3 linked regions of the Tamandua tetradactyla genome follow. The protein of the gene in region 2 purifies or fractionates together with the protein of the main gene of each other region. This does not show direct contact. Links are inferred from orthologs where the notes say so. Each region holds a gene or a part of one and is shown on either strand. Other genes may lie near its edges.

The links.
Region 1: the proteins of BTK (region 2) and BLNK purify together in Homo sapiens (affinity purification with western blotting; 5 studies listed by BioGRID and IntAct, with this or other methods). This does not show direct contact. The link is inferred for Tamandua tetradactyla from reciprocal best matches to the Homo sapiens genes BTK and BLNK.
Region 3: the proteins of BTK (region 2) and ANKRD54 purify together in Homo sapiens (affinity purification with mass spectrometry; 4 studies listed by BioGRID and IntAct, counting the BioPlex papers as one, with this or other methods). This does not show direct contact. The link is inferred for Tamandua tetradactyla from reciprocal best matches to the Homo sapiens genes BTK and ANKRD54.

Annotation. Positions count from the first base shown.
Region 1 is NC_135339.1:57,439,184-57,446,956, reverse strand, and holds the start of BLNK (B-cell linker protein), read left to right. Parts: upstream 1-4,742; 5' UTR 4,743-5,509; coding exon 5,510-5,685; intron 5,686-7,521; coding exon 7,522-7,571; intron 7,572-7,773. UniProt on the Homo sapiens protein: Functions as a central linker protein, downstream of the B-cell receptor (BCR), bridging the SYK kinase to a multitude of signaling pathways and regulating biological outcomes of B-cell function and development.
Region 2 is NC_135353.1:72,132,156-72,139,580, forward strand, and holds the start of BTK (tyrosine-protein kinase BTK), read left to right. Parts: upstream 1-4,419; 5' UTR 4,420-4,443; coding exon 4,444-4,584; intron 4,585-5,040; coding exon 5,041-5,139; intron 5,140-7,425. UniProt on the Homo sapiens protein: Non-receptor tyrosine kinase indispensable for B lymphocyte development, differentiation and signaling. Binding of antigen to the B-cell antigen receptor (BCR) triggers signaling that ultimately leads to B-cell activation.
Region 3 is NC_135333.1:30,208,132-30,216,236, reverse strand, and holds the start of ANKRD54 (ankyrin repeat domain-containing protein 54), read left to right. Parts: upstream 1-5,103; 5' UTR 5,104-5,268; coding exon 5,269-5,593; intron 5,594-5,664; exon of another isoform or gene 5,665-5,840; intron 5,841-7,080; coding exon 7,081-7,128; intron 7,129-8,105. UniProt on the Homo sapiens protein: Plays an important role in regulating intracellular signaling events associated with erythroid terminal differentiation.

The sequences.
Region 1 (7,773 bases), on a different chromosome or scaffold from region 2:
CCTCCCTTTCCCTATTTCCCTTCAACCATCCTATATAAGCTGTGCCCCATTCTCCGCTCACTGCTGTCGCCATCTTAGGCATCAGTCCACCAGTGCATAGCCTCACAGTAAAACTCCTTTAATCGAGTTGAGTTTGCATTTCCTCTCCTTCCTGTTGAAACACCTATCAAGCGCACTCCCAGACGCCAGGTCTTCACCCTGCAGTTGGTTGGGCTGTCCCTGTATGAGGGTGCCCAGCTATGGGAACAAGCGGGGGCTAAAATCCAGCCTTGCTCTGTTTGCAGGTTGAACGCTCTGACACAGAGCAGGGTCCACCCAGACAAAAGGAGCACCTGTATTTAATTTGTACAAAGGGACGCCATTGGTTTTGAAAACCACCTTTTAACAAACTTTTTGCATAACCTGTAAAAAATTATGCATGTACAAGAACAAATGTATGTATGTTTTTCTTCTCCCCAACTATACACATTGTTCTGCATTTTCCATCCTTTCCTCTTTTTCTTTCTTCTTCCTCCTTTTATTTTAAACTTAATATCTCCTGGGGATTTTTCTGTATCAGCAATACAGATCCAAGTTTCTTTCTTTTTATATTTTTTTAAGGGTCTGTGGTATTCCATTTTATGGCTCTATCAAAATTTATTTAACCAGTTCCCTTTTATTGACTGGATTTAGGTTGTTTCCAGCTGCTTTGGGGCAGAGGCAGGGAGGATTGGGTCCATGCAGTCCATAATACTGCAATAAACATCAATGGCAAAGTTTTGGGACAATTCACAAATTCCCAGCAGTGGAATTGCGGGGTCAATAAGTATAGATGTTTTAACTTTTTTGACAGAAAGCAATTGCAACAATTCACATTCCCAAGAATATCTGTAGTCTTGCACCCTCACCAGCCCTGGATATTATTACACTTGTTAATCTTTGCCAATCTGATAGGTAGAACATGATATCTCATTATTGTTTCAATTTAGATTTCTTTAAATCATTGATCTATTGGCCACTTGCATTTCTTTTCTATTAGCTATTTGTTCATATCATTTGCTCATTTTTCTATTAAATTGTTCATCTTATTTTACTGAGTTATAAGAGTTCTTTATAAATCAAGAAAATGTTTAATGTTACTATTACATGTTACAAATGTTTCTTCCAGGATGGCATTTGTATTTTGATTGTGTGCTTATTATTTCAAATATTTATATAGTCAGATTCATTAATCATTTTCTTTATAGCTTTTGCATGACAGTTTTTCCAGTTTCTACCTAGCAGAGATTTAAAAAAGTCTTGCAACCTAATTTCCGCCTATATTTTGTCCTTCTGGGTAGCATCTATCCTTGTAATGTGGATGCTCCAAGGACAGTCAGTGATGAACAGTGAGGCCTCTGATAGGAACAGAGAACTTCATGGTTGTCCAACTGTCATCTGACTTCATTCACAGTGAAGTGAGTTCCTTGGCTGGCAAATCTGACCAAGTGATGGGGGCTCTAGCATTGCAGGAATTTACCTTTTGGGCTTTTCCATTCTTTGAGTTCAAATCACAAGGCTACTTGAGGAGCCAAAATTCCCTGCCATGTTGAGTTTGAGGTTTTCTGGATATTTCTCTGATAAGATGCCTGCAGAATCTGGACTATGATATCCTCCTCTAAGAGTAGCACTGAGAGCCAAGGACTGCTCCCACCAGGCCCAATAGCTTGGCAAAAGTACACCTTGCCTCCCAACTGTCCTCCTTTTCATAGTAGATTCCTCGAGGCTGGACTGGGAATTTAGCACTGGAGTAGTTTTAATGGACAAAGGCCATGGATTCTTTTGCCCAACATGCTCCATAACCAATTCCTGGCATGCCGGGGTTTCAAAGAGAGAAAGAGTTTATTACTAGGCAAGTAGCAGGAGAGCAGATGGCCTAGTGGCCCAAAATCTGTCTTCCTGAACTGTGGTAATTTGGATAGTTTTAAAAGAGAAAATATGGGCAGAGTTCAGGATAATGAGCACAGTGGCCCCAGGTGATGTAATTAGAGGGGATCTGATTACTGGGGATGCACAGGTTGATCACATGCTTAGTCACAGAACATATGTAAGAAAATGGTGGAAGAAGATATAGGTGACTTGTAGGTTAAAGTCTAAGCTACTGCACATGTCCAGCAGTTCCACTTTGATTAGATCCAGTCTCAGTCATCAAAAATAACTTTGAACTTGGGAAGGGTTAGTTCTGGGCAGACCCAAGACCCTTCATTAATAAACATTAGGGGCCGTCTTTAGTGATTACTGGATAACTGGGTACAAATGAAAGTTAGTCCCAAGGTTTTTACAATCACAGGGGCAGAAGATAAGGGCTATACAATCATTATCAGAGATTCAAGGCAGCTGGATTACAATTTAGAAATTCCAGGAATTTCCTTCTGTCTACTCCAATATACCAGAAAGCAGAAAGGAATGTCTATATAATGATTCAGTAATCAAAATCATCTCTTAAATCCTGATTTCTAGGTTGTAGTAGAACAGAAGAATGATTATTTCTGGGCTTCTTCTACCTTACACCCCTAATTTCAGGGGCTTTGTCATACTGTAAGACAACTTCATATTTTGGGAATGGGGACATGGGAGGAAGTACTGGGGAAGAGACCAGGGAGCAGGGAATTGCCAGCTCCTCTGGGTCCTCCCAATATCTGCATTTCAGTTGTCACCGTCTCTGACTTTGCCAGCAAATAATTAACTTTGACAAGAGAAACCTGGCATAACAAAGCATTAAGTTGACATGACTGGGTCTGGTGTTCAGTGATTTCAAAGGGTGGCTACAATCAGCCAGATTTTCTCTCATAAAGCAACCTAGAACCAGAGAACAACCCTTTCTCACTGCAAACTGCCCAATGCTATGAGAAGTGGCCATCTGCCCTACATTTTGCATCCTTTTCCCTATTAAATTATTCTAAGGTAGGAGCTGCTAAATCTCAAAAGCTTCATCTTTGGTACGCACTTATCTAAGAGACTTACATAGCTTCATAGCTGTGTCATCAAGGCACATACGCTGTTAGCCGTCCATTCCAGACTGTGCTGATGGTTGTATGCATAATCTCATTCCTGGTACCAATTTCTGATTTAGGCTCATTTGATTGCGTGGGACATCAGCCAGTTCCAAGAACTTTGAGCACAAAATAGGTTTATGTTAAGGACTGGAAATGGAATGAAAAAGTGTTTGGAATTTAGAGACTACTAGGGAGTTCTCCCGGAGTTTTCCTACACACCTGTTCTGTCCTTAAGTTATGGACCAGTGCGGGGCACTGTACCTTTCCCTCTCCCGCAGGAAAGGTGAGGGATATTTATCCAAGGTGCCCAGAGAACATCAAAGCAGAAAAATCAGCTTCTATAAATATTAAGCTAAGGGCCACCAGGACATGCCTGGAAAAATCCAAAATTCCTCTCCTTCCTCCCCTCTCCTATCTCCCTCCTCCCTGACCCCCTTTCCCACCTTCTCTCCCTCTCCATCTCCTTCTCTCTCTCCTGAGTCTTTCTTATTTTTACCCCTTATGTTGTTTATTAGGTTATTCTATGGGATGACCCTAGCCACTTAACTAAAGTAGCTTTCAATTGAAAAAATGTCTTTAACATTTAGTTCCCCACTAAATTTAAATGGCTGCCTTAAAATCAGAGTAATCTCCTTCTACTGACTGACACCTCTGCCTCACGTGTCTCCTGAGCACAGATGATCTGTGAGGTAGAATTCCTGCCTTCACAGCCTGAGGCTGGCCCAGACAGCTCAACAGATGGGACACAGCCCAGGGACCACATTCCTTATACAGTCAGCCATGCTTTCTCTTTCCATCTGAAGTAACAGATGTCAACGTAATCAAATATAATACACTCTATTTTATATTCAAGAAGTGTTTAAAAAAATCATCCTAGTTATATAACGTAACTGTATAATAATTACTAATATTTCATGTTTAATTTTGTTTCTTACAGGCAACTTCAAAAGATGGTCCATGATATCAAGCACAACGAAGGTGGAATAATGAACAAAATCAAAAAGTAAGTTAAACATCAGGGCACTATAGAAACCATTTTAATATGTCAACCAGTGCTAAGTGGAAGAATAGAAAGTTCTGTTACCCGAGTGAGGAGTTACAAGATCTTTGGCCTGTAACGCTCTCTCACTCATGACTGAGTCCCTGCCGGTTAACCACAGGCGAGTGAGTGGGGGGGTGCCCGGGGCACTGTGCCTTTCCCTCTCCCGCAGGAAAGGTGAGGGATGCTTATTCAAGGTGCCCAGAGAACATCAAAGCAGAAAAATCAGCTTCTATAAATATTAAGCTACGGGCCACCAGGACATGCCTGGAAAAATCCAAATAAGTTACAGGAACAGAGTCCTTAGCTTCTACAGTGCCAGGCTGTTTGCTCTATTTTGATTTCTGTTCTCTCAACTATTGCCTTAAAGTGGTATTTTCTGCTGATACTTGGAGAAGAAAAGCTTGAATCTCAAATGTCCTATACACCAAAAACCTCTTAAGCCTTTTTTTAAAAAAGAAAATAGAAATGTACATATCTGCATTTGTTACTCAAAATGTAAGAGGAAAAGCGATGTAATATTTTGTAAGAATTTTGTTTGCTTCTTTTCTTTTTTCTTTTTTTTCTTTTTAGTGAAACATAATACATATTCACCAGGTAAAAAAAAATTAAAGAGTTGAGAATTATATGAAGTAAAAACCTCTCGTTTCCCCATACCTCCACCCTAACCCACTCTTCCCAAACAGATATTATCATGAGTTTGGCATATATATATTTACACACACACACACTGACACAGATATAGTACATACCAATACACATAAACCTTCTCTTCATGGATGGTATCATCTTATACAGACTGTTCTGCTAGTTTGCTTTGTTGGTTTGCTTTACTTAATGCTGTATCATGGGCGTTTTTATCTTTGTAAAAAAAAACTATATTCCTTTTTGAACTCACGATTAATAGTCTGCTGTAAATGCATTATGGCCTATTTAACCAATTTTATATTGGTGGGCATTTTTAAGGAGGGTGGAGATTCAAATTGGTACCATAGCTTTGGAAGGCACTTTGATAATAGAAATCTAATTTTTTTTTCGCTTAACTGTCACAAATAATACCGTGATAAATATGCTACACACTTTCAATACCCAAGTAAGCTAAATTCCTGAAATGAAATTTCTGGATGAAAAGTTGTATGCCCTTAAAATTTTGATTACTATCACCAAATTTCCCTAAAACATTTTGTATCACCAAAGAGTTCATTTTCTCCATGCCTTCAGCACAGAGTATTTTCATTTTTTTATCTTAAGTAAATTTATAATTAAGAAGTCACTTTGGGTAGTGATGTTAGACTAGAATATGTAAAAAATATAAAGGAGTTTCACTTAGTGTACGCGATCATCATAAAATAGTGAAAATGTGCCCCTGCTTGTGGGATAGTGGTCATCTTAGAAAGACTTTTGTCTTTTTGTTCTGGGATATAACTGGGAGAGGTGTGCAATTACTTTTATTTTGATGTTATTTCTGATACGCATAGAATCCCATTCAAATGAGGGAACACTGCTGTTGATTGTAACAATGACTGTAAATTCTAGATCAATCGATCTAGAATCCCATAGTTGCCAATTTTACGATACACCAGCTTCCTCAATGATATGGAGCTTTTGTACAAAATGTCCCTCAATTCCATGGTAAGTCATCATCTTACAGTAACCATAGATCAAGAGTTTTCTTGGACAGTTTCCATTTCAAACATTCTGTCCATTGTCCCCAAAAGTGCTTTTACTTGACAAGCCATGTTTTTTTCCAGCTTGGTTGGGAAAATGTGGCGGCCATAGTCATTATTCTGGGAGAACTTAATGACCCTTTGGTTCAAAATGAGGTGCAGTGAAGCTCTCGCTCGAAACCATGCAGCAGGTGCTACCTTGAAAGGAGGAAGCACGGTCGAGCACCCTGGTTCTTTTACATAAGACTGTGACGGAGTCCTCGCTGGTCTGTGGCCAAGTGAGAAAATAAGAACCTTGAAGTATTAGAGTTCGCTGTGCAGCTGCAGGCTGCAAGCAAGATCCAAACCCTGGCCTCTAGTCCCTGTCGGTGCTCAGTGGCCAACAGTCCTTCCTTAAGTGAATCCTTTATTCTGAGATTATAACCTCCCTACATTTAGAAATATTAAAATACCATTTTAAAACCCCATTTAAAATGCAATTTCTTTCACAAAACGATGGCAATATAGTAGCTGGTTTGTGGGTTTTGTTGTTTGTTTTGTTTAGCTTTCCTGGTCCTTGAACAGGCCTTGCACCATATCCAGTTTTTTCATTTTTTTTTCCCTGCAATACCTTGTGCAATCTCTCTCTGGGCCTCATCATAGGAATAAGGGTAACATTTTCCCAGCACACCCTGATGGTTTGCTACAAGGATTGAATAAAATGGTATGAGAGCCTTTAGGGTGACAAAGAGCAGAATTGCTACACAAGTACAAATCTTTTATTTTTGAAAAATTATAGGTTTTATTATTTTTATGGTTTGTAGGGGATTTTTTTTTTATAACAAAACATGAGTTTTGGGATACTTTTCTTTTGCAAGAAATGAAATGTATTTTGTATGAAATGATTATTTTATTTCATAGATAAATGTAATAAATGCTTCTATAAAAGGATATGAAGTTCTGGTAAATGTTACTTGATATTGGTTTTATTTATAATTTATAAATTTCATTAAGGAAATAATTTAAAATGATATTTTAAAGAGTTAAATTACTGAAAATATATAGATTTATTTTGTTATTTAAAATACATAAACTATTATTAAGATTAATAATGTTCTATAAACCTTGCCTATTTCAAATAATGGAAAGGTAGATATTAGAACTTATGAAAAGTCTAAAAATTAGAATACTTTTTAAAAATGTAATTTTAAAAAATTTTTAAATTTTTAAAATTTTTCTTCTTTTAATGAGTTAAGAAAGACTTTGAATATTCAGCACACTTGATGTGTTAAAAGTAGTTTGGAAGGTGCTTGAAACTGTTGGACTTCTAAATAAACTAAATGTCACAGTCCCCAATCTTGAAATATTCACTGCACATTGCTCAGTAATTTTTTTTCCAATGGTGCAAAAAATAATTTCAGCCCAATTTATAACTGAAGTGCTCATTCTAGCTAATTTTCTTCTGTTATTTAAAGATTTGCAAACCATTAAAATATAGTTCTTCTTCTCTCCTGCTCCTATCACCCAATCACCACATCGTCCTTGAACCTCTGACCTCAGTGCTTCATGGTACCCTGACCTTGTGCAGCCTTTTACTGCCAGTCTTGGCCTTCGCTATGTGGCAGCCGCTTTGTGCACTGGGAGTTGGGGAGAGGTGGGAACTCCCTGAGTTAATGGCTTCACCATTATTGTCTTTAAATGTGATGTGCCCCAAATAAGCTATTATTCTATTAGTCATCAACCTGTTATCTTTATATCAGCTTCTATCATGACACCTGTTGTCCTATTCTCTAACCATTTGTTTAATGGTTATTATCTACAGGCTGAAAGTCAAAGCACCTCCAAGTGTTCCCCAAAGGGACTATGCTTCAGGTAAGAAAGAGTGTTTCTAAGATACATTAACTTACGCTTGACTCATTTAAATGCTCATATTTATTTGTTGAAAAGGGAAATAAGTTCTCATTTGAAAACAAGTGCCCATCCTAATTTTAAGAATAAGCAAATCTATTAGGTATTGCATTTGACTAAACTGGAGATGCAGTACTCCATCCATCCATCCTTCCATTCTTCCATC
Region 2 (7,425 bases):
CTACTACTGGCTGGTTACTTCTTTTTTTTTTTCTTGGGAAGTTTTTAAATTTTTTATGACAAAAACTTCTCACAACATACAAATATTTACAACATGTACATTACTTTCAGTTCTTCACACTGAATTTCAAGGTTAAACATTTTTATAGATTACCACATAACAAAAGCTATGATTCTTGTTTTTATTTCATTAACTATTATAAGTTAAAGTGAATAGAATTTTAAATATTCCTTGTAGCATTTTACAAGTGCAACAGAAAACTTACAGAACCAAATTAAGATAGTTATAGTTCATCAGATAAATATTGCATATTGTCATCACATTATTAACAATAATTTTTGAAAAAATAAGCACCAACCATTCTTTCAAAGAACACATTTTTAAAAATTTTTTATTTGAGAAATCGTCACACACATACATTCTATACATGGTATGCAATCAATGGCTCACAATAACATCACATAGTTGTGTATTCATCACCATGATTATTTTTTAGAACATTTGCATCACTCCAGAAAAAGAAAGAAAAAAGAAGAAACTCATACATACCATACACCTTACCCCTCCCTCTCATTGACCACTAATGTTTCCATCTACCCAATTTATTTTAACATTTGTCCCCCCTATTATTTATTTATTTTATATCCATACTTTTTACTCAACTGTCCATTCTGGGGATATAAGAAACACCGGACGTAAGTTTCTCACAATCACACAGTCACATTGTAAATGTTATATCTTTATACAATTGTCTTCAAGAATCTAAGCTGCTGGAACACAGCTCAGCAGTTTCAGCTACTTCCCTCTAGCCACTCCAATACACCAAAAACTAAAAGGGGTATCTCTATAATGCATATGAATAACCTCCAGGATAACCTCTTGACTCTGCTTGAAATCTCTCAGCCAACAAAACATTGTTTTGTCTCATTTCTCTCTTCCCCCTTTTGGTGAAGAAGACTTTCTTAGTCTCTTGATGCTGGGTCCCGGCTTATCCCAGGCTTTCTGTCCCACATTGCCAGGGATATTTACACCCCTGGAAGTCATGTCCCATGGAGGAGGGAGGGCAGTGAGTTCACCTGCTGAGTTGGCTTAGAGAGAGAGGCTACATGAGAGCCACAAAAGAGGTTCTTTGGGGATGACTCTTAGGCCTAATTTTAAGTAGGCCTAGCCTATCCTTTGTAGCAATGTTTCATAGGGGTGAACCCCAAGATCAAGGGCTCAGCCTGTTGATTTGGTTGTTCCCACTGTTTACAAGAATATCAGAAATTCTCCAAATGGTGAGGTTAAATATTTCCTCCTTTCTCCCATTCTCCCAAGGGAACTTTTGCAAAGAACAATTTTATTTAAAAGGATTGAAAAATATTAAATACAAGGCCTTTAATTTATATGACAAGCCATAAATACACTGTATGAAAACATCCTGCATACTGTTACCCTTGTATATATACTGTACTGAACAATGACCCACCACACATGTAATTGTACTTTTTTCTTTTAAGAAACCAATTTGACTCCTACCAATGGCTTGCTACTTTACTGAAGGCCACAGTGGTCTCATTCCAATCATAGGCAGGCTGTATAGTTTTGTAGATTTTGCTTTGGTGTTGTCTTTAATAGTGTTTTATCTTAACACGAGCAAATGTAGGAGCCAGTTTAGTTGACTGATTCTGCAAGTGCTATTTATATTAATTCTTTGGCATAGTGCAGTTGATTTGATGGCTGAACCCTTTCTAATAAGCATCTTCTTTCTGAATTCTGTTGCTCTATAGGGAGCTAGAAGCTGCAAAAGGTGATCATGTGAAAATCCTTGTATTGTAGTTCAACAAAGAGAATATTATAACACTGGAACTCTGTATTTTAATTAAAGAGCTCTGTGTCTGTCTATAATTTTCCCTTCCCCTCTTTCTTTCTCCATATGAACATGGTCTGTATGTTTGCGTGTGCATCTGTGTGTATAATGTTCACATCACTTCTGTTTTCCACCCTTACTCCCTAAGTGAGGCACAGGGCCAGTCCTGTCTATGCATCTCTTGTGGTCGAGTTGGATCTGTAGGCTGCTGAAATTGTTAGAAAAAATTGGGGAGTTCCACAATAAGTATCTTAAGAAGCCACAACTATCTCTAACTCAGAGCTGTCCATTACATGTTAACCGTGGGGAAGACATAAAGATGGATGCCTCTCCTTTCACATTCTTGGTGAAACGACCAGTGGTGACTAAGAAAGAACTACCATATTTCCAGGCTACATGTGTCTAGACTGGTTCATAAAGAATAAGGAAAAAGTAAAAAAAAAGAAGGGGGGGATAGGGAGGGGTGTGTGTGGGTGGGATACCAGGTCCTTGAAATCCTATTGAACAGCATGATGTAGAGGTGGAAGCCATTTCATCCATTGCTCAGTAAGGCGATGGCTAATGAGAGGTTTACTTCCTCAGACCCTACCCCAACACAGACACTTGGAAAAGATGAAGGCTTCCTTTTGTACAAACTGGATTTGTTCTAAAAAGAGAAAGAGCAGAGGCAGTTTCCAGCAGGATGTGTCTTGTAGAAATAAGAGCAGAGACCAAGACCAAAGCAGATGCTGGATCTGAGCAGGGAGTTTGCAACAAAACTAAAGGTAACAAGCTACGTGTGCTTTACTAAAAGAAAACACAACTGGATGTGGTTTCTGATTCTGTTTACTGATCAGGCTACTCAATTCCTTTAGGGCTTTATTTTATCTTCTGTAATTTGAGTTTTTTATTTTGAAAGGGTACTTTTTTGAAATTTGTCATGGAAGCAAATGTGATTTTACAACAGGGATCTCAATGAGTTGGCAGCTCCTGAGAATAGAGTGTAATTATTGGTTTTGCCATTACTTCTATGTAAATGAATAGTTCTAATGTTAAAAGGAAGTTCTTTGGAGTTTCAGCTGAATCTGAATGTTAGAAAGGACTCTGATTGGTTGGAAACAATATCAATATGTCATTTCAATCAAAGGCCAGGGAATCAGGGAAGAGAGGTGTTGGTCAGGGAATGGGGAAAGTTTTGCTCCCTTGTGCAATTTTTCTGAAAATATGATTTGCAAAATATTGAACTAATCCACAACCATAAGATAAAGGAGGGTAAGTGGCAAAGCAAACATTCTGAACATTCCTGGTGTTTCTTTAATCATTTTGTCTCCTCAGTATGATCGTAGAACCTTCTACACCTTAGAAAAAAGCAGAATAATGAAAAAAAAAAGAGTAAAATAATGGCACATATTGCTTTGAACTTTGAAAATAACCACTTTGCTTGACAGTAGAGAAAAATTGCCAATTTTATTTTGTTTCCATAGTGCCACCAAAAGCACAAGGAGTTTGGTTCAAATAATAATAATAAGCCTCACCCCTCCATAGGAAAAATTATCCACCTCTAGCAAAATTTGGATGGGAAGAGGGACTGGTGATTTTTCAGTACTTATTGGTGCTCTATTTTTTGTGATAATATTTAAGCTTTCACTTTGTCTTTCTAATGAAAGTTTGGAATTAGTAATATAAGATTGTGCATTAACTTAAAGTGAACAATTGATACAAAGTTTTGTTTTGTGTAAATAAAAAAAGTTTTGATGTCAAACAAAAAAGTTTGATGACTTTCTTTGCCTTTCTGTATTTCAGTTACTTAAACTGAAACTTTCTGTAATATTGTAAGTTTGGAGAAGGCTAAACAAGGACTTATTCTTCATAAATGATCAGAGACAGCAGTAAGATAGTTGCAATACCTTTGCGTGATGTTGTCTAAAAGAACTAATCAAAGCAAAAAGAAAAAAAAGCCAAAGGTCAAGAACAGAAACAACCATATCCCCACTGAATTTTTTTTTCAACTTTAGAGCAAAGCTTCCATCCTTTGTAGCTCAGTAGGTGATGGGCAAAATCAGTTGGGTGGCAGGTAGTGTTTGTCCATAACTACAGGTGCAGCCTCCTTATCCTTATTAGACCTCTTGGTTACAGACTCTTAATAGGACACAATTTGAAAAATTAAATTCACTGTCTAGGAAACTGGGAACTGAGGCTTCAATATCTCCCTCCGTGAAGTTCTGGCACTTACATTATCCCTTCTGGGATTTTTAGGGTCAACAGTTACACAGACTTTTGCTGTTCACAGATCTTCTTCCATGTACCATAAGAGTGATTAGCGTAAAGTTGTCTCTGGACATTGCCAAGGACACAGGTACATGCCACTTGACATCCAGAGCAATTCATTGCCTTACATGAAGACACAATGTAGGACCAAACTCCCCAATTCAATATCCATTAAACGCAAAAACTGACAGAGCTGTTGACTATGAAAGGAGGATACCAAGGTAGGGTTTTCATGGTCTGTTTCATTCAAAACCAGGGTTAAACTGAGGTAGGGGTGAGGATTGATGTACTGGATCCTCAGAAACTGTTATTATCAACAGCACACAAGTGAGCTCCAGAAAGAAGCTATGGCTGCAGTGATCCTGGAGAGCATCTTTCTCAAGAGATCTCAGCAGAAAAAGAAAACATCACCTTTAAATTTCAAGAAGCGTCTCTTTCTCTTGACCGTGCACAAACTTTCCTACTATGAGTATGACTTTGAACGTGGGGTAAGTTTTTCTGCTGTGAAACCTGAATTTCAAGGGGTTGGTCTTAGAAATTCCTTAGGGAGGAGGTAGTAAGAGCAAGGTAAAATGGACCTAAGTACAATTAAACTTAGCAAAACTCAAGAGAAGTCATGATTAAAGGCGGTGGGGGATGGATCTTAACATGGAATCTTGTAATTGGTGAGCATTCATTAAATGATTGTTGAGAATGGAATCCAAGAGTTGGAAATTGCTTCCTTATTTCTTATGATAAGGCACACACATCCACTCTTCTATAGTGTTTGTCCTCCATCTGGTTGTCAAAATGGGTTAGATTAATACTTTCAAGATGACAGGTCCTGATATAGAGTGTGGGTGTCACCTCACTATGTAGAATGATTAGATAACAAAATCTAATCATCTGGTTGCCCAATCACCCTTAATCTCTTTCTCCATTTTCTTCCACATTCTCTTTCTCAGAGAAGAGGCAGTAAAAAGGGTTCAATAGATGTAGAGAAGATCACCTGCGTTGAAACAGTGGTTCCTGAAAAAAATCCGCCCCCTGAAAGACAGATTCTGGTAAGAAGAGATGATTGTTTGACATAGAGAAAGAGAGAGCGTGAGATTTTAAGAAATTTGGAACATTTAGATTTTCTGTAAGTAATCTAGTGGTGCTGTGAAACACAGTAAAATGCCCTTACAAAGTTCTTCACTCTACCACATATTGATTATACTCTCAGCATCTTTCCCCCAGATATTTAGATCTAGATCATTTAACCTAGAAAACTTCTAACTTCCTGTTTCAAAATGCTGTTATATCTAGTTTTCAACCTGGCCAGAGATAACAGTTACTGGGCTCAGAATCAGAGGTTTGAGATAGTCTGAATGCAAGAATCCTAAGGCTCTGAGTAATAGGAGATGCACTGATATCTTACTGTTTATTCTCCCCTTGTTTCCCAGAATCTTTCTGGTGCATAACACCCAGTGACTGCTAAGTTGAGTTTTTTATTTTTTCATATTTTTATTGATAAATCTTCACATACGTACATTCCATATATGGTGAAAAATCAGTGGCACACAGTCTCATCACATAGTTGTGTATTCATCACCACGATCATTTTTTAGAACATTTGCATCACTCCAAAAAAAGAAATTACAAGAAAAAAGAAAAAACTCATACATACTATACCTCTTACTCTCCCTCCAATTTGTTTTTAACATATCACTTCTTTCCAGATTATAACAGTAGTGTATGTTTATTAAGAAAATCTGAAAACTATTTTAAAATGATAAAAAAGTAAATACAGTCATTTATAATATTATCACCCAGCTAAAACAGTTATATCTATACAGACTTACAAAATGTTTCTCTCTAACAACCATGTATACACAAACTCAATTTACACATACATTCAGTTTCATATATATGATAAATATTTAAACATAAAATTGCCTTTGTAATTTACTTTCTCAATTTAACAATATATGGTAACTGTTTTCCCGTGACATTAATTATCTTTAATAACATGATTTTAATGACTGCATTGTATTCCCTATTATAGATATATAATAATTTGATTATCTAATCTCCTGTTACTACACATTTAGGTTGTTTCCAATGATTTGATATTATAAACTATGTTGAGAGAAGTATCCTTGCAAACATTTTTGGTTGCTATTCTTATAATAGAATCCTAGAAGAGAAATTTTCTTTTTCTTTTTTTGTGAAATTGGCACACTTGGTTATTTTTATGTCTTTATTCTATTTTATTTCCTGGAAGTGGAATTTGAATTTCATGCAGTTCTACTAGCTGTGTATAAGAACTCTTATTTTTCTACATTCTTTCCAATACTTGGTATTATAATTTATTTTAAACGTTAGTCAGTTTGACAGCCAGAAGAAATAATATTTCATTGCTGATCTATCCTGCAATTTTTTTAACTTTTTTTATTAAAAAAAATTAACAAACAAAACATTTAGATATCATTCCATTCTACATATACAATCAGTAATTCTTAATATCATCACATAGTTGCATATTCATCATTTCTTAGTACATTTGCATCGATTTAGAAAAAGAAATAAAAAGACAACAGAAAAAGAAATAAAATGATAAGCAAAAAAAAAGACTATACATACCATACCCCTTACCCCTCGCTTTCATTTACCACTATTTCAAGCTGAATTTATTTTAACATTTGTTCCCCCTATTATTTATTTTTATTCCATATGTTCTACTCTTCTGTTGATATAGTAGCTAAAGGGAGCATCAGACATAAGGTTTTCACATTCACAGAGTCTCATTGTGAAAGCTATATCATTGTTCAATCATCATCAAGAAAAATGGCTACTGGAACACAGCACTACATTTTCAGGCAATTCCCTCCAGCCTCTTCACTACATCTTGAACAACAAGGTGATATCTACTTAATGCATAAGAATAACCTCCAGGATAACCTCTTGACTCTGCTTGGAGTCTCTCAGCCATTGACACTTTGTCTCATTTTACTCTTCCCCCTTTTGGTCGAGAAGGTTCTCTCAATCCCTTGATGTTAATTATCAGCTCATTCTACGGTTTTTCTCAGTCCCTTAATGCTGAGTCTCAGCTTATTCCAGGATCTCTGTCCCACGTTGCCAGGTATCCTGCAATTTTATACTACTAGTAAGGTTCAACAATTATTTATATGTCTACTGCTTATTTACATATTTTCATTTGTGAATTACCTCTTAATGTTTTGCCCATTTTTCTATTAAGATGTTTACCTTATTCTTGATAATTTTAAGAGATCCTGACATATTAAGAATATTAATTCTTTAACTACAATATATGTTGAAAATATTTTTCCAGTTTTTCCTGTATGATT
Region 3 (8,105 bases), on a different chromosome or scaffold from region 2:
CTACTGGAACACAGCTCTACATTTTCAGGCAGTTCCCTCCAGCCTCTCTATTACATCTTGACTAACAAGGTGATACCTATTTAATGAGTAAGAATAACCTCCAGGATAACCTCTCCACTCTGGAGTCTCTCAGTCATTGACATTTTGTCTCATTTCTCTCTTCCCCCTTTTGGAAGAGAAGGTTTTCTCAATCCCTTCCTGCTGAGTTCCAGCTCATTCTAGGATTTCCTAACTGCATCTTAACTTGTATTCTTTCTTTCATCATAAACATTTAAGGTTCTTGTCCTTGCCCACAAATATTCACTCATTCTAAAAACACAAGGCCCTCTCTCTGTAATCTAAAAGAACAATTCTTGAATTGTTAAAAATATAATTCTCATGTTTATATCTTTTTCATTAATTTTATTTTATAATTTCCAAGATTTGAAAACATTCCATATAGCAACGACTCCTGCTTCTACCCTCCCCGTAGCCTGGTAACCCTTAATCTTCTTTCTGTTCTCTGCTATTTCTAAATATTTCATATAAGTGAAATCACAATATTTGTCCTCATGTGCCTTGCTTATTTTGCTGAGCATAATGCTGTCAAGGTCTGTCCATGTCATAGCGTGTCTCAGAATTTCATTCCTTCTTACAGCTGAATAATACTCCGTTGTAGGTATGTACCATATTTTATTTATCCATTCTTCTATTAATGGACACTGGGTTGTTTCTGCCTTTTGGCTATAGTGAATACTGCTGCTGTGAACATTAGTGTATGAATATCTGTTTAAGTCCCTGTTTTCAATGAACATTAGTGTACGAATATCTGTTTAAGTCCCTGTTTTCAATTTCCTTGGGTATATACCTCGGAGTGGAATTTGCCAAATCATATACCAATTCTCCATTTAACTTTTTGAGGAAATGCCATACTGCTTTCTACAGTGACAGTACCATTTTACCTTCCCATCATTTTCTATATTTTGATTGGGTTGGTAGGTACAGGAGTGTATATATTTGTCAAAAATCATTGACCTGAACACTTAAAATGTGAAGGTGTTATCATATGTATGTATTTTATGCTTGAATAAATTTGACTTTTCAATTATAAGTAAAATTGACAACAAACGAACCAAAAATTATTTTAGAACTTATATGATAGACAAAAAATATATACTCTTAATAAATTAAAATATAATTCTATCACAAATAGAGAGTGTGCACATAGTAGAGCTTATTTAATCCTTAAAGGAACCAACAGTGTGACAGAGCTGGCTCGAAAAGAATTTGAGGATGGATAGTTATTGAGCAAAGAAAAGCTGTTAGATTGCTAAGTTAGATCCAAACTTAAATCATGGTCTAAGGGCAATAAAATTGTAAACATTGGGATTATCTTCTCCGTTGGAAAAATAAACATCATTGTACCTTATCCATTTTCTTCAAGTTAACCTCTAACTTTACGAAATTCTAAGACAATTCTTGGTCTAAATCAAGTGTTAATCAAAGTTAAGTTTTCCCCAGAGAGTCTGATGTCTCTTACCTGGCCTTATTAAAAAATGCTCTAGCACAATATTAAAAATGCTCAAGCCCAATATTTAAAATCACAGGATCCCCATTCGCTATATTTTCAGATATTAGGTAATTTCCCCACACACTAGTTTTCATTATACTACTTTTAATAAAGACAGAACTATTTTAATTTCCTGTTAACTCTACTTAAAAACAACAGCCAAGTATGACAATAAATAGCAATTGTCTTCAGCCTCGGCGTGGCAATAATAGGGAGTAGTGGGGACTCTAGCAAACCAGCGCACCATGCCCACTCAAAGGGGAGAGTTGCTATGCAGCTCCAGCAACTGTTGCCAAGTAGGAAAGCAGGCCTTGCTTTGCCAGAGATTCCCATTTCTAAGAGAACCTGTAAGTCAATATTTTTTTCTGTAAAAGCTATCAATCTTTAAATGCTGACAAGCAGTTCAAATTTCTGAACAGGTCGATAGGGTTTGGGAAAGAAAGAATGAAAGGAAACTCAACCAGCTATTTCTAGCCTAAGGGGCCAAAGATGTCAATATCTGACCTAAAAATAACCCTGTCAGATGGTAAGACTGAGGCCCAGAGAGGAAGACCTTGCCCAAGTCACAAAGTGGCAGATTGGACTTGGATTCCCAGGCAGGCAAAGACTTTTTTTTTTATTTGAGGTTATTATTTATTACCTATTAAATAATGCAATTTTTATTGGTAGGGTAGCTAGGGTTTGAAACTGGTTCTAATGTTTTTTTTTAATTTATTAATTAAAAAATTAAGAAACAAAATAAAACATCAACATACATAATTCACATCATCACTTAGTTGCATATTCATCATTTCTTAGAACATTTGCATTAATTCAGAAAAAGAAATTAAAAGACAATAGAAAAAGAAATAAAGCGAACACAGAAAAGAAAAAAAAAGATTATACCTACTATACCCTTTACCCCTCGCTTTCATTGATCACTAGCATTTCAAACTAAATTTATTTTAGCATTTGTTCCCCCTATTATTTATTTTTGTTCCATATGTTCTACTCCTTTGTTCACAAGGTAGCTAAAAGGAGCATCAGACACAAGGTTTTCACAATCACACAGTCACATTGTGAAAGCTGTATCATTATTCAATCATCCTCAAGAGACCTGGCTACTGGAACACAGCTCTACATATTCAGGCAGTTCCCTCCAGCCTCTCCATTACATCTTGAATAACAAGATGATATCTACTTGATGCATAAGAATAACCTCCAGGATAACCTCTCGACTCTGTTTGGAATCTCTCAGCCATTGACACTTTGTCTCATTTCCCTCTTCCCCCTTTTGGTCGAGGTTTTCTCAATCCCTTGATGCTAAATCTCAGCTCATTCTAGGGTTTTTTTCAATCCCTTGATGCTGAGTCTCAGCTTATTCCAAGATCTCTGTCCCTCGTTGCCAGGGAGGCCCACAAGACAATGTTACTGGTATTTTCTTTGTCTCCTATTAGGTGCTTTATGTTTTATTTGCTGACTGACCAAATATAAATGGCTCGTGTGTGAATGAATGCTTGCAACACCCTCAGGGTCAAGTTCCAGCCAGTGTGATGTGCCCACTGTCATGTAGGATTTGTATGGTCTTAGCCAGCATCCTACCCTTATTAGTACATAAGGTACATGTACATAACGTTTGTTCCTTTCCTCTGTTTCCTTCTAGCTACAAATAGGGTTGGATTTTGTCTTTACTGATTATGGGGCAGAGGAGAGTTCAAGTTCCAGTCTGAAACTCTGAGGCTAATGAACGGAATCCACACTCAAACACAGCTCATTCTTCCCATTCCAACATTCAAGTAATTCCTGCAACAGATGGAGGGCTGGGCCATGCGGTTTATGCCTCCACAAATTTGACTTTAAATTAGAAGTAAAATTAACAACCACCTCTGTTTGTTCAGGGATCCTGCTTAGATTCAAAGTTTTCTGCTGAAGCAAACATCTTGGTAGGCAAGATGGTGTGGAGATCAATCTTTCTCCTCTTGATAGGAGAAAGAAAACAGTTCCAAAAATAATTGGATCCAAATTAGGAAGGGTCTTAACTACCAGCATAAAGGGTTTAGACTTCAACCTGAACTCAGTGGGCAAACAAGTTTCTAGGAACTTGAAGAGATTTGCCAATTTAGGCAGCATAGATACTTGTCATTTGAGATTCTAAGAAGAGAGAATGGAGGGAAGACTGTTTTGAAGGTCATTACTTGGAAAAAGAGGAGGAATAATAAAGTTTTTTTCAGGGGTACATTCATCAGGAGTGAGGTGTAAATGCTCAGATATCACTTAGACTTCCTGGAGTCAGGTTTCCTGCAGGCTCTTCATTTATGAAAGAGGGGAGTGTGGCCTTGGGCGGTGGTCTGGATTCAAATGCCACTTTTAACTGTCTTGCTCTGTACCCTTGTACAGTTCACATAATATTTCAGGGCCTCAGTTTTCTGATCTGCAAAGTGGATATAATAATATCTAAATGTATATCAAGCCCTTGGTAAATGGTATATGTTCAATAATATTTGTTTCTTGCCTGTTTCCTTCTAGCTACAAGTGGAGTTGGCATGTGTCCTTACTTGTTATCGGACAGAGGAGGAGAGTTCAAATATACTATTTTTCTACAATGATAATTCTCATAACGGTGTCCCGCAGACACTACAAAATCTGGAAGTGCTTTTTTCAACTGTCAGGAAGATTACTTTTTAATTGGGTTGGCTGACAGTGAGAGGGTTTATGTGGTGGGAAAAGTCCTTGACCCAAGAACGCTGGGCATCCGTGAACAGGCCACTTGTCTCTGTGATTTTGTAGTGGGGCGCACCCTTACAATTTCAGTTCTTCATCTATAAAATAGGGAGGTTCCTCCTTGCCCACCTTACAGAAGTGTTTGCGGGGCACAAAGACGTGAGAATTCTTCCAAAACAGTAATGGTAAATTCACGGTTATCTGTCTGGTTGCAGAACACTTCCTTGCTCCCGGATTTGTCCCTGGGGACCGTGAGCAGCTCAGTGGGCACCAAGTCTGATCCTGTGTCCTGGACGTGCAGCCGCTCTGTGACCGACTCTCGGACTGAAGTGTCGCTGTAGTGTCATTACGTTAATTATAACGCTTTGTAAATCATTAGTGATCAACGCGCGGGGGGGGGGGGCGAGAGACCGCAGACTAAAGAGAATCTATCACCCTTAGAAACTATTACTCCACAGCCCCACATTTTGACATACTTTCACTTTCCTTCTTGGACCACGCATTGGGAAGAAGTTCTTTTTCTACGTTCACACTCCCTCCCTCCCCGCCTTCTTATCTTTCTTTGGTGAATGGCTGCTGCTCATCTAAATGTAATTGGCTCCAGCCCCTTCCCACTGTCTTTCCCATAATCCGACGGGGGAAAATTGAAGAAAAAAAAAAGAATGTCTTAGACTCTGCTGTTTTATTGGCTCCGGTAGCGACGTACGTACGCGTGGACCGTGGGCACTTCAAATTTTTTATTGGTTTCTTTGTCCGCCAGTCACAGTGCCAGAAACACTGTCCAATCCTTTCGTGCGTACTATGCCCTCCCTTCCCGATTGGCTGTCAGGGTTTAGGCTGGAAGGGCTATCATTGGTCCGGAAGACCCGAGCTCGTCCCCCGCTGAGGTGCGGTAGTTGCAGGCCGGGCCCGGTCTTCTGGCTCACTCGCTGACAGCGCGGCTTACGGCGGAGGGAAGTGGGTCGGTTGGTCTGTCGGGAACGAGGCTCCCGCGGCTAGGCCCGCGCAGAACCGTTACCATGGCAGCAGCCGCAGGGGGCGCGGAAGATGAGCCGCGCTCGGGCAGATCGAGCTCGGATGGCGAGTGTGCGGTAGCCCCGGAGCCTCTGACTGGTCCCGATGGCCTCTTCTGCTTCGCCGACTTCGGGGCGGCGCTGGGCGGCAGCCCGGGCCTCCCAAGTCGGTCGTCCAGCGGGGCCCAGTCCCCGCTGCGCTACCTGCACGTCCTGTGGCAGCAAGACGCGGAGCCTCGCGACGAGCTGTGCTGCAAGATGCCCGCCGGCCGGCTGAGGCGCGCCGCCAGGCCCCACCGCCGGCTCGGGCCCACCGGCAGGGAAGTCTACGGTGAGGAGCGGAGCGGGCTGGCGGAGCGCGAGGCAGGCGGCCCGTCCATGCCCCCCGCCCCTCCCCGGTACCCGGGACCCTGGCCTTCCCCGTCACTCGCAGCCTGGAACTCCGGGACGCCCGGGCTAAGGCCAGAATGACCCTAGCGCCTCCTTTCAATAACTGTTATTATAGTTGCTAAGGACCACGAATTTTTTTTTTTAATGTCTTACTTCTCCTAGCCTGTCATCACTGACCTTCACACTTGGTAGTTCCTAAGTAGAAACTTTCATGACCCCAAGTATTTATTAGTGGGCAATAAAAGGGAATACCAGAGAATACTTTTATTATCAGAGAGGGGAGGCCAGAGCTCGTAACCAAGTGGTACCCAGTTGTTTAGATGTGCAGACCTGGGATGGACTCCTCTACCTTAGGCAAACTGTTGAGCCTTTCAGCCTTAGTGTTCTCATTTGTACAGTGTGTACAATACCTGCTTTACAGGGCTATTGTGAGAGTTCAGTTAAATAATGAATGTATAACCATTAGACCTCCTTTGCTGTGTTCCAGACACTGTTTTGGGTGATATGGGGTAATTTTTAATTCTCACAGTAATTCTTTGAGATCCAGATATTGTTCCCATTTTATTGAAGAGGAAACCAAGGCACAGTGACATTGTTTTGCTCCAGGTCCTTAGCCAGAAAGAGGCTGGGCTGGTATTAGAACCCTGGTCTGCTTGACTCTAAAACTCCTACTTTGCTGTATATTTACCATACTAGCTTTTACATTTAATGGCTGACAGGGAAACCAAGACTCTGAAAGATTAAGAATGGGGCTTCTTGTGTCCCCTTTAGGACTAATCTGTGATTCCACCGATATTTTAGGGGTCTTGTGAAGATTAATTGAGAATTTGAAAGTTCTGTAAAACCATAAAGTGCTATAGGAATGTAAGGAATTTTTAACCACTTCCCTGATGACAAAGCTATTGCTTTCTACTAGCCTCTAAATAGAGTTGGTGTCAAGGGAGGGGAAAAATGCTTTTGCTTAAGAATGACCAAGTTTAGGTAAGTCATTTGGGAGTGACCTATTTTGGAGGAAGTATAATAAGAAGATCTGTGTAACTAGCTCAGAAAGAGCTTCTAAGTAAATTATCTATGTCATTTCATCTTTCCAACAATTCAAGACTGGCAGGGTCGAACTTAACCTTGTTTTAGAGATGATGGACCTGAGACCCAGAAGGGTTAACTAAACTTGCCCAAGTTCACCTCACTACTATAAATGGCAGAGCCAAGATCCAGAGGCCTTGGAGGATTTGCCAAGCATGCGGCCTCTACCCTAGTGCCACATTTCAAGTTTCTCCTTGTTCCCAGTGTAGTATCTCTTGTAGCTAGCAGTTTTCTTCCCTTTAGGTGCTATTATGGCTGAAGAGTGGATTATCTCCCATCCACTTTCTGCTTCATCACACCTGTTTTGTTTTTTTTTTAACTGGAATTCCTTTACTCTTGTCATAGCTCTGAAGAGGCTCCGGGACTCAGCCAATGCCAATGACGTGGAAACAGGTGAGTGTGCACATTGGGCCTAGCTCCAAGGACCTGTGGACTGGTTTGGGGAAGGAAAAATCCAATTAACACATTACCTGAGAAGAGAGTGCTTTAATTCAGCCTACCAGGTTACCCCTAACTCGAGGCTCACTTTGTTTACTGTGTAACTTTGCAGTCAACTTGTAGAAGGTGAATCTGGCTTAGATGCTTAGTCCCTTATGCTCCCCTATTACCCTGAACTTCCTGATGTCATATAATTTATCACCGCTGGGCTCATTGTCTGCTTTTACACCCCTGGCTCCCAGCGCAGTCCTCCGCAGAGAGTTATTGCTCATTTTTCAACCTCTGCGTTGGGAATGAACATTCAGCTTTAACTGCCAGGGGTCGGGTAGGCAGTGCCACCACCTTTAGCCTACTCACTGAGGCTTAATGGTAGTTGGGTCGGTCCCTGGTTCTCAAACTTCAGTTGACAGAGCATTTGAAAAGCATAGGTGGAGCTCATAGCAGAACACCACTGTTGTCTGGTTTTTTTTTTTATTATTGCTCTCCAGCATCTGCCAGCTGACAAGGCAGTAGCAACATCAAAGATGCAAAGAAAATTTATAGGAAAACATTTTTTAATTTTATCCACTAATATAATTCCCTCTGTGACTTGGGGAAAGTGATATATTCGTTTCCTATTGCTGCTGTAACAAATTGCCACAAACTTAGGAACTTAAAACAATGCATTTCTTATCTTAGAATTCTGTACGTCAGAAATCCAGCACGGGTCCCACTGAGCTAAAATCAAGGTGTCTGCAGAGCTGCATTCCTTTCTGGAGGCTCAAGGGAAAAATGTTTTCCTGCCATTTCCAGCTTGTCCTAACTACCCACGTTCCTTGCTTGTATTCCTCTTCAAATCCAGTCACAGTAGGCTGAGCCCTTCTCATGCCATCTTTCTGGTTCTGGCAGCAGAGACAGTTTCTCCAGTTTTAGGGACTCTGTGATTAGATTGG